3 linked regions of the Ovis aries genome follow. The protein of the gene in region 1 interacts with the protein of each later gene in a biochemical or structural test. Links are inferred from orthologs where the notes say so. Each region holds a gene or a part of one and is shown in the gene's direction. Other genes may lie near its edges.

Region 1 (3,442 bases):
GTAATGTCTCTGCTTTTCAATATGCTATCTAGGTTGGTCATAATTTTTCTTCCAAGGAGTAAGCATCTTTTAATTTCATGGCTGCAGTCACTCTTTAATTCCAGACATTTGAATCTTGGCTTGTTGATCTGGCCCATTAAGTAGGGATCCTCTTCATCTATCAAAATCATATTCTGGATAAATTATATAATAACAGCAGCATTTCACAGGGACAGTTTTATAGAACATTAGTTCTGTGGAATAGTAGAATGTTTCAGTGTGCAAAAACGTTTTCAGAGTAAAAAAATAAATAAATAAAGAGGGACACCCTGTATTAATCAGACTTGGTTTTTTTTTTCTTATAGGACCTCCTAGAGCTTTGACATGTGTTATGAATCTCCAAGAGAGGGATACTAAAGCTTGCTGTGTCTCTCAGGCTGATTTGAACACAGAAGCCTTTCCTTACACAGAACATCTCATGGAATTCGTAGTTTGTGGAAGATACTTTGGGAAGTGCTGAACTAAAGAAAAGACTTTTTTTTTTTTTTTTACGTCATTTACATACCAACCATGTTTTCTGAGTTGCATCTTCACATCAGTCTCTGAAGGAGAATTGAAAAACATATTTGCTGTATCGGAAATACATTTACAAAGCATCCATTTGGGTAAGTTAATTTAACTAACATTTTACCATACTTCTTTTAGAAGTATCATTCTGTGAATTCTCAGAGTCAGTGTCTTCTAGTCAAAGGCCTTTATGAACACCCCTGTAGTTGAACAGCATTGAGTGTATTGACTTGTTGTATCAAGGAGAATGCACACCATGGGAAATCAGAATATCTCAGGAAGAGGGTGTTGGAAAAGAATTCTTGCAGGAATTGTGCTTCTGTTAGGTAATTTGGGGCTTACATTAAAAAACAGAGGACTTTGCAGAAACAAAAATGGTTATTAGTTCTTATAAAAAAAACTCTGTAAAATAGGGACCCGGACTACCATACCCAGACAATGAAAATATGTCTCCCCAAGCCACTTGTTTTTTTCCTTAGACATCTAGAAGTCTGCCCCTACCTCTGCAGTTATGGGCTGTCCTGTAGTATTTACATAGGTAAGGCAAGAAGTGTTCAGTATAAATTTCTCTTTGACTAGAAAAGAAGAAATTAAGAACCATGTGATTATCCATGACAACTATGCCTAGTAAATTTACATTTAAACCAATGCTTGGTCAAAGATTAAAAAAACCTGCACACTTCTAAGAGTGGTAAGACAGATTGTATTCAATAATATACTATTGCAATTTTTTCAATAATATACTAGTCCAACATGAACTGAACTCAGAAGTAACTGGATGTTTTATTTTATTTATTTATTTTTTTTAAAAAAATACGTATTCATTTATTTGGCTGTACCGAGTCTTAGTTGCAACACGCAGGATCCTTGTTGGATCCTATGGGATCTCTCACTGCTGCGCTCCGACTCTCTAGTCATGGATGTATGCTCAGTAGGTGCAGGGCGCAAGCTCAGTTGCTCCATGGCATGTAAGATCTTAGTTCCCTGACCAGGAATCAAACCCACATTCCCTGCACTGCAAGGAAGATTCTTACCCATTGGACCACCAAGGAAGTCCCTGGGTGTTTTAAAAAGAGAATGAGAGAAAGGAGAGGAGAGTGAGTGAGCAGGGGCTCAGTAGAGTCAGGGAATTTAAAAAATTACAAATAGGAAGGAGGGGTTGGGTCCAAGTGGAAAGTATCTGGGTTTTCTAACTGGTACTTAAGAGACTGGGCTCTTACCCTCCCACAGAGGCTTGAGGCAGAGGCCCTATGTCCAGGTGTTGGCTGGAACAAGCACTGAATTCTTTTGGCAGCCTTGAGATTTCTCAGGCTATGTAAGAAGGGGTCATCCTTGAGATGCAGTCTTGAGTTGTTCATAACTATGTTAGTGTTTTTATGTTAGTTGTTATTCAAGTCGCATAAGTCAAGGTTGACACCTGGTTGACAAGAGGATTCAGAGGAGCCTGGCTAGAGTTTCATCAAGAAGAGAATCTTTGTCAGCTTCCAGAGCAGAAGATGTGTAATTGATGACTTTCTCCAGGGTCAGAGACAAGCTTCAGATGATCTTCATCTGGACCCTGGGCAAGAGTTCCCCTAGTCTGAGACTTCAGCTTCAGTCAAATAAATGAATGGTTATTCTGCATTCTAGAAGTTTACCATGAAATGAAATGAAACATATAGTAAAGACAGATGGTAAAAGGATAAGCACATGGTAAAACATAGCCAATATTTTTTGATTCAAGTTTCAAAGAAAAGCTAGTATTTCTCTCTGTTTCATTAAAACCTGGATAAATGTAAGCAATGAGCAGGAAGCAATTTTTTGTATCTGTTTCTTTTTGATTCAGCATGGAAAGAAAACTTGTGTCCTTATCTCCATCCATCTCCGCATCAGAAATGGAAATTAACAGCACCTTCAGCGATCACCATAGCAACAGGAACTGCACAGCTGAAAACTTTAAGAGAGAATTTTACCCCATCGTGTACCTGGTAATATTTATCTGGGGAGCCTTGGGAAATGGCTTTTCCATATATGTTTTCCTGCAACCTTATAGGAAGTCCACATCTGTGAACATTTTCATGCTCAATCTGGCTACTTCGGATCTCTTGTTCACAGCCACACTGCCCTTCAGGGTGGACTATTACCTCAGAGGGTCCAATTGGATATTTGGGGACCTGACTTGCAGGATTATGTCTTACTCTCTGTATGTCAACATGTACAGCAGCATTTACTTCCTGACTGTGCTGAGTGTGGTGCGTTTCCTGGCCACCGTTCACCCCTTCCGGCTCCTTCATGCCACCAGCATCAAGAATGCCTGGATTGTTTGTGGCATCATATGGGTCTTTATCATGGCTTCCTCAATAACGCTACTGAACAATGGCTCTGAGCTGAAGGGCAATGTCACCTTGTGCTTGGAGCTGAATCGTAATAAAGCTCCTAAACTGAAGACCATGAACTACATTGCCTTGGTAGTGGGCTTTCTGCTGCCCTTCTGCACGCTCAGCATCTGCTACTTGCTGATCATCCGAGCTCTGCTGAAGGCGGAGGTCCCAGAATCAGGGCTGCGGCTTTCTCACAGGAAGGCATTGACCACCATCATCATTGCCTTGGTCATCTTCCTCCTGTGCTTCTTGCCCTATCATATACTGAGAACCCTCCACCTGCTCCAGTGGGAGGCGGATTCATGCAGCGACCTGCTGCATAAAGCTGTGGCCATCACACTGGCTATGGCGGCAGCCAACAGCTGCTTCAACCCTTTGCTTTATTACTTTGCTGGGGAGAATTTTAAGGACAGACTAAAGTTTGCACTCAGGAAGGATCATCCACAGGAACCAAAGTGCTGCTTTCCTTTCTGTGTGTGGCTGAAAAACGAAACAGGAGTGTAAGGGGTTCTTGGGCAAGGCTGTTCCTATGTCTT
Region 2 (3,749 bases), on another chromosome or scaffold:
GACAGAGAACAGAGCTGCTTCAGGGTGAAGGGGAAGATGGGCCAGGAGTGATGCAGGGAGGCCGGGGGGAGCAAGGGAGATGAGGGATGGCGGCAGTCAAATGGTCCTATACATAGAGGTGAGGGGGTGGGTGACTGACCTTATTTCTTCACTCGTGACCCCCTCACCCATTTCCATTCTATTCTATTCCTCCTTGGTTGTTGATGGCTGGGGAGACCATGACGATTATTCCTAAACTCTAGATTGTGTACTTTGGTAGAAAGAGCATTGGTCTGAGAATGAGAAACTCTGGGCTCTAACCTCTGCAAGGCTGGGCCAGGCCCTGTGCCAGTGGGGACTCAGCACAACAGGAATCCCCTGGTTATGCAGCAAACTCTACCATGATTGCCAACCAGTGCTGGGCTACCCAGGAGCCCTAATTGGGTTGGGTGACATTTTTCATGACTAGAGTCCCTCTCCACTTGTGTGGACAGGGAATTCCTGTTTTTAGTACTCTGTGCCCCACCCCCAAATAGTAACAGGACTTCTGGAGTTTGAGGTCCTTTCAGTGGACAAGGAAACCATTGTCTGGGCGTTGTCAGGTGAGACATACATCAGGAACATCTTGTTATTCCACTGAAGTATTCAGCTTTCAGTATTCAGAATGAGTCAATTCCAGGAGCCTGTGGTATAGAAACCCTTGTTGAGAAGGGGGGGTCTTTCATCCCCTTTCCATGTCTCTCACCAGCATCCCGGTCACAAGGCCAGCCCACCACAGCCCACAGGACACCTGGCCCTGCTGACACGAACTCTTAAATTGGACCTGGTATCTGGTAACCCAGTATCCTTCTTTGCTGTCCATACAATAGTGGTCAAATTTATGACCTCCTGTTCCCTAAAAAGGAGATTTGTCCATGCTTGTCTCTGTGGGGTACTTAGAAGGTTGGCTGTGAGGGCATTCAGCATTTCTCATCATCCAGGGATTATATAACACAGATTGTTATGAACATGAAGAGGAGTTGAACATAACAGGGCTGTAGATGCACGAAGGTGGGCCCCCTGAGCCCCAACGGCATAGCTATGTATTCACACTGGTTACTGCAAAAACCTCAAAGTTCTGCAAAGACCTCAGGGCTAGAAACTGAATCATAGAGGGCTTCTTTCTTACAGTGAGGCGGCATCTGTGCATCTTGTAAATAGTTGCCTAAATCATTTTCCTAAGATGCCGCTTCTGATCCCTCCTCACTGAGAATCATTGTATGGTAGGCACTGGGGGGTTGACGTGCCTGAGTGCTGGCCTCCTCTCAGGAGAACACTCTCTGCTGAGGCCCCACCCCTGTGAGCCAGAGCCGACCGACTGCACCAGGTGCTGCAAGTCACCCAGAAGTGAGAGGACACCCGAGAAGGAAAGCCGGAAGAGAGACTAATCCGTGCACCAGACACTATTGGGCACTTTCATGAACGGTGACATTTGAATTGAGCTTTTAAAGAAGAGAGAATTTCAAAAGGTAAGTGCTTTTCAGATAGAAGAATAATAGGAATGAACAAGGAGTGGGGCCACTCGGGGCTTGTTTGGAAACCAGTGAAGTGGCTGAGGTGGCTAGAATGTAGGTTGCTTGCTGGCTGGAGGGGCAGCCCCAGTGTCCACAGTCTCCCAGATATTTATCTTGTCAGCCTTCACGTGTCTGAGGTGCCTGAGTCCAATAACACAATTTAACAGCTGATATATTGTTTCCAGGATATTACTATAAAGTGCTCTGTGTTAAAATCTGGTTAATTAAGTCATACTTGTATCTCACTTCTGTAGAACTGTGATGTCTTAGAGATGGAAGGGACAAACACAGTCATCTAGTCCAGTCCCTGGCAGAGTGTAGAAGCTTCCTTGTCAGTGGTTCTCAAAATTGAGTGTGTATCAGAATCACCTGGACAGTTTGGTAAAATACACATGTCTGGGCCCAGCCACAGAGTTTCTGATTCAGTAGGGTTGCAGTGGGGTCCAAGGATCTGGGATCCTAATAAGTTCCCAGGTGCTGCTGTTGCTGTAATTCTTGACAACTGCGTTATTTAATACTTCTTGAATCCTCGGCCTCCATCTCTAGTTGTGTGTGGCTCATGACCACTCACAGCATCCACCCACTATTCTTTGTTGAACCCTCCAGTTGTTTGAAAATTCTCCCTCCCGTTGCCTTCAGAACTGCCTTCCTTTTACTTCCACCCAACCATTGCTCCTAATTCTGCTGAGAGCGCCACACAGAACATGTCTGTGGATGGTGGCTGAGTCACAGGCCTGGGCTCATCTGCTTGCTCTCCCACTAGGTATGTGACCTTGGGCAAGTCTCTCAGCTTTTCTGAATTTTCCTGATTTGTAGAATGGAAATAATATGTTTCTAAAATATCTAAATAAGATGTTTAGATTAAATGAGAAAGTGTGCATAAAATAATTAGCTTGCTTTTTTGGCGCATAGTAAGTACTCAATAAATGCTGAGTTTTAGCACTACCCGGATTCCTTCTCCACGTGTGTGTGTTAGTCGCTCAGTCGTGTCTGACTCTGTGACCCGATAGACTGTAGCCCACCAGGCTCCTCTGTCCATGGGATTCTCCAGGCAAGAGTACTGGAGTGGATTGCCATTTCCTTCTCCACAGGATCTTCCCAACCCAGGGACTGAACCCAGGTCTCCCACATTGCAGGCGGATTCTTTACTGTCTGAGCCACCAGGGGAACCCTTCTCTATGTGGGATCTCATCAAATCACTGAAGAAAGTTAATCATTTTATCTAACATTTCTTCTTTCTGGGATAAATATCCTTAGTTTCTTCACCTATTCCTTCTGGCACAGTGTCAATATTTCCTTCATTTTTGTTACTCTGCTCCAAACAGAGTCTGGTTTGTAAAGTTCCCTTGTGAAGTGTGCATGGGGCTCAGACCTGTCGCTTGCCTCAGCATAGCTGGAGCCTAGTATATTCACTGTCGCCAAAGATCACTTTAGTTTTTGTGGCTAATTTCCACATTTCACTTGACCCCATCAGACTTTTCGGCAATGAAATGCCTGAGGCCACATCTGCACGTCAGGGAAAATTTGTTATTCTGTCACATTTCCCCCTGAGGCTCCCCTGGCTGCCTCCGCGTGGGGCTCTTACTGTGTGTGGGGTGTTGGCTGGGGAGATCACTCTGATCCTGGGTCTGACCTGGGGCTTACACTTGCTTTGTGACTGCTGTGAGAGCAACCCGGACAACAGGCCATGTGAAGAAGCATGTCAGAGGCTGACAGAGAAAAGGGATCTACTTCTTTTCTCTGTCTTGGCCTCTGCCTCTCCTGGCTCCATGGGCCTGGTGGGAGACCCAGCGTCTCCCCTGGGGAAGGGTGAACTGACCCCTTTGGTACAGCCAATAGTTTTCTAGAAGGAAAACAAACTTCAGGGCCAGAGGGCATTTAGAGCAAAGCTGTGTAGGCATTTCAGTCCCCACCCCCTGCCTCTGTCTCTACTGGCCTCTTGCCCAGAGTCCTTGGTAACATCATGAGGAGAGAGTCAGGGCTGTTTTTTATGGGGATGGCGTGGCAGCTTCAGGGGTATAGGTATTAGGGTGACAAGGCAGGCTCTGGGAGCAATGCCTCTCACAGTTTCAATCCCAATTTCTAGTCTGTAGTGAATGGCTTACTGGGAATAATGACCTCAAGTTTTAAACTGAAGGCAGAAGAAATCTGCCCAGGTCACTGGTGTACAGGAGAGTGTCTTACCTCTTCCTGGTCACAGAGGACACCAGTTCCTTT
Region 3 (3,749 bases), on another chromosome or scaffold:
GGAGTATTTAGGGAGGGTAGCCTTGCCGGTGCAGGATATTCTTTCTGTCCGCAGCCCCCGAGCACGTTCCGAAACCTAGCAGGGACATTAGCTGGCTCTACCCCCGCCCTCGGGCGGTGCCCGAGGCAACAGCAACTCCAGGCTGTGAATTCCGAGAGGTGGCTGCCGCGCCCACGCCCCCGCGGGCGCCAGGACTTGGGTGCAGATCCCAGACCCAGGAGTGATCCTTATCTCCTGGCCCCGGGGCGGGTCCAAAGGCTGCCCAGCTTAGCCAGGAACTTGAGTCCAGGACAGACGCCTGGTTCCAGAGGTCTCTGGCCGCCAGTTTTAAAGAGCTAGACCCTTTTCGGTTGAAGACCCCAAGCCTCTCTTGCTTTTAGGCTTCTTTCCCTCGCCTTATACTTTATCTGCGTCCAGAAAAGTTGGCCCTAAAGTTTAAGGATGCAGATAAGTGTGTGTATACGTGTGTGGGCGTGTGACGGATCCCATTTGGGGGACCACCACGGCCCCCCCTCCCCAGGGTCGCAGAGGCTGGGGCACACCCTACTCAAAGACCAGAACCCGCCCTCACAGTGCAGGTTGGGGGGAAGCCGGGCAGGCGCACTCCTCTGGGTTGGGGTCAGGGTATTAGAGGGAACTGCGGCGGGGGGTGGGCTGGGTGACGGACAGCGTGGCCAGCCACTGGCCGAGGGCGGTAAGGAAGCTTAGGCCGGCGTGTGTGCGTGCGTGTGTGCGTGAGTGTGAGCGCGAGGGTGAGTGTGCGCCTCCCCAACCCCCACCTGTTTGAAATGGTTTTAAAATACCCAAGCAGATTGCCCATGTTTTTAAGTTGCAGTCAGTTGGAGTAAAACACTTCCTCCTCTCCCAGACCCCCGAAGGGGCTATGCAGAGTCGTGAGCACTGAAATAAAAGTAGGAATGAGAAGGGTGTGTGAAGGGGGAGAAAAGTGGCTGATCCTGGAGAAGTCGGACTTAGGACCCAACGGGAAGCACATTGGAATCTCTCACTTCGGGAAGGCGGGGTGGGGCGGGCCGGCCGGCAGGCGGTCGCGGGGCGCATGCGCGCGCGTCTCCTCTTGCCGGCCGCTGCGCTCGGCGGCGCGGAATAGAATGAACTGTAACAAAACAAGCCGAGCCTTTGTATCTGCTTAAAGGGGACGCAGGCACTTCCCTCCTGTCCCCCCCGCCCCCGCTCAGCTACCGCGTCTCCAGGGCTCCCAGCAACTGCCTAGAAGGGCTTCCCTCACCCTCAGAAACTGCCCGCCAGCGAGGAAAGGCGACCCAGGCGGGAGGCAAAGAGGAGACACCGCATTTCTAAGAGGCAAGAAAGAAAGGAAGGAAAAAAAAAAATAATCCAAGCTGCGCAGAGTGGACTCTGGTCCCAGAGAGCACGGTCGGGCGCCGGAACGTGGACCGAGAAGCACCGGAATGCAAACAAAGCTCGCGGGCGCCTGTGCAGGGCTCGCGGGGAAGCCCAGAAAGTTTGTTTTATGATGGCTTGAGTGAGCGAGTGTGTGCAAGGGAGCGAGGCTGCCAAGTTTCTCTCTCCCGCTGCGTTGTTTGTGGGGGGAGATGTCTCTCCCATGAACCAGCAGGGGCTTGGGGGCTTGTGCTGTGGGGGGCACCTGTCTCTCATTTTATCATTATTTTTTTTGGCGGGCGTAGTAGGGGTGTAACTCATCATGTCGAAAGTGATCCAGAAGAAGAACCACTGGACTAGCAGGGTTCACGAATGCACCGTAAAACGGGGACCCCAGGGAGAGCTGGGGGTGACGGTGCTGGGGGGCGCGGAGAACGGAGAGTTTCCGTATGTCGGAGCGGTGACGGCTACCGAAGCGGCGGGGCTTCCCGGCGGCGGCGAGGGCCCTCGGCTGAGCGAGGGCGAGTTGCTACTGGAGGTGCAGGGGATCCGGGTGTCCGGCTTGCCCCGCTATGACGTACTGGGAGTCATCGACAGCTGCAAGGAGGCCGTCACCTTCAAAGCCGTCAGACAAGGTAAGTCGGGCCGCGCCTCCTGGAGGCGCCCCCAGAAAAGAACCGGCCTGAGAAGTCTCCCCCCCGCCCCCCTTCCGATTTCCCGCTTTTCTTCTGCGAACGCGGCGTAGGGGCGATGTTGAGGCCGTGTGCCCAGTGATGGTGAAATACACCAAGTTGTTGAGAGGCTGTGGGTTGCTTGCCCACCTGCGTTGGGAAGAGGGGCTTGGGTTAGCTCGGGGAAGCGCAGAGATTTTTCCCTGGCCCGGTTTGCTAACCTGTTATCTCTGCAACCAAGCGCAGCAGTGGCTTGCCTGCACCGGGAGGAGAGTTGGGGAACTGAGGCAGGGGCAAAGTGGACGCTCTCCTGGCTCCCTGGGCGAGTGTTGCAGCGGGCGCAGCTACTGTGTTCTTTGATCTCTTATTTGTTTTCAGACCTAGAGAATGGGTATGAAGGAGGTGAGGGTCTTTGATTGTTGGACATCCTTAATCAAAAAATCAGCATCACCCCGTGACCGGCCAGGTGGGCTAGGGCATCACCACCTTTCAGTCCTAAAGCTTGCAGCTTGAAGATCTTGCATTCACCCCACAGCTGGATGACGCATGTGTCTCAACCCGTGTGGCCTGGCCCCAGACTTTTGGGTGGCGTGGGGGGAGAGAATAGAGAGGGTATTTCAGCGCCATTCAAGCCCGAGTTTATACTGCCACCAACATCACCACCATCCCCATCACTGCAACCATCGTCATCATCCCTGTGAAGATGATTATAGCTGCTGTTTCTTATTCACTTATTATGTGTCAGGTTCTATGTAAAATGCTTTCCTTGCACTCTTTTGTTCTGATGCACAACAATTCTGAGAGCGAGTGTTTCTTCTAAACCCCCTTATGTTACCGATAAGGAAGCTGGGACTGACATTGTTTCATTTACTGATATTGGTTCAGTTACTTGCCCAAGGTCACACAGATGCCAAGAGTGAGGGTTTGAAAATCCTTGCTGCAGAGCCTTAACCACCAAGGAGGAAGAGGATGAGTGTGGGAGACCTGAGGGGTGCACTTAAGAGAAGGGAGTGGAAGCAAATTCACCTCTGGGAAGCTTGGAGAGGAGTGATATGGCTGCTGGTTGCGGGGAGTCCCTTGCATCTTAGTTTGGTATAGGCTCAGGGCTGTCCCTGAGTAGAGAAGTAGAGAAGGAATGGATTCCCTTAAAGGGGTCCCTTGTATGACCAAGCACCGTGATGCAGGTTCTTCCCTGGTTGAGCCCTGGTGAAAAGTTCACACATGTGCCTGCGTGCTTGAAAGGGCAAGCAGCAGCTGGAGGACTGTGTCAGAGGAAAGGAGGGCTAGGCTGAGCTAGTCCTCTTTTGGAAACAGGCCTGTTCCAGATGAAGTGGAGGAGGGGGACAGGGAGAAGAGACGGGCCTTTTGGTAGCTTTGGGAGCTGAGGGACTGACAGTTATGGAAATCTCCTTCCATTTGTGTCCTCATTATCTGCTTGCACACCTCCTCCAAGAAGCCTTCAGGCACCCTGCCAGGATGAAGAAATCAGCGTTCCTCTGGACTCTCCTAAATGTGTGTCTTGTCAGTTTTCTGCTTATTCTGAACTATGCGTTAGATCCCTTCCCTTCTTTCCATACAAGGTGGTAAGCTCATTGAAAGGAGAGAATATGCCTCATTGACTGCACACCACCTCAGCTTTGCTTAAGGTCCAACACCTTGTCTCACCTGGAAATATGTCTCCCGTTATCTGTAAACTGGCTGTTTTGTATTACATAAACT

The links. The genes of interacting proteins can lie anywhere in the genome.
Region 2: the proteins of CYSLTR2 (region 1) and PDZK1 interact in a test that uses a peptide from one of them, tested with the Homo sapiens proteins (2 studies listed by IntAct, with this or other methods). The link is inferred for Ovis aries from reciprocal best matches to the Homo sapiens genes CYSLTR2 and PDZK1.
Region 3: the proteins of CYSLTR2 (region 1) and MAGI1 interact in a test that uses a peptide from one of them, tested with the Homo sapiens proteins (2 studies listed by IntAct, with this or other methods). The link is inferred for Ovis aries from reciprocal best matches to the Homo sapiens genes CYSLTR2 and MAGI1.

Annotation. Positions count from the first base shown.
Region 1 is NC_056063.1:18,786,402-18,789,843, forward strand, and holds part of CYSLTR2 (cysteinyl leukotriene receptor 2), read left to right. Parts: intron 1-344; 5' UTR 345-644; intron 645-2,371; 5' UTR 2,372-2,372; coding exon 2,373-3,406; coding exon of another isoform or gene 3,407-3,410; exon of another isoform or gene 3,411-3,442. UniProt on the Homo sapiens protein: Receptor for cysteinyl leukotrienes. The response is mediated via a G-protein that activates a phosphatidylinositol-calcium second messenger system.
Region 2 is NC_056054.1:99,065,520-99,069,268, reverse strand, and holds the start of PDZK1 (Na(+)/H(+) exchange regulatory cofactor NHE-RF3), read left to right. Parts: upstream 1-1,361; 5' UTR 1,362-1,487; intron 1,488-3,749. UniProt on the Homo sapiens protein: A scaffold protein that connects plasma membrane proteins and regulatory components, regulating their surface expression in epithelial cells apical domains.
Region 3 is NC_056072.1:35,499,403-35,503,151, forward strand, and holds the start of MAGI1 (membrane-associated guanylate kinase, WW and PDZ domain-containing protein 1), read left to right. Parts: upstream 1-1,077; 5' UTR 1,078-1,681; coding exon 1,682-1,994; intron 1,995-3,749. UniProt on the Homo sapiens protein: Plays a role in coupling actin fibers to cell junctions in endothelial cells, via its interaction with AMOTL2 and CDH5. May regulate acid-induced ASIC3 currents by modulating its expression at the cell surface.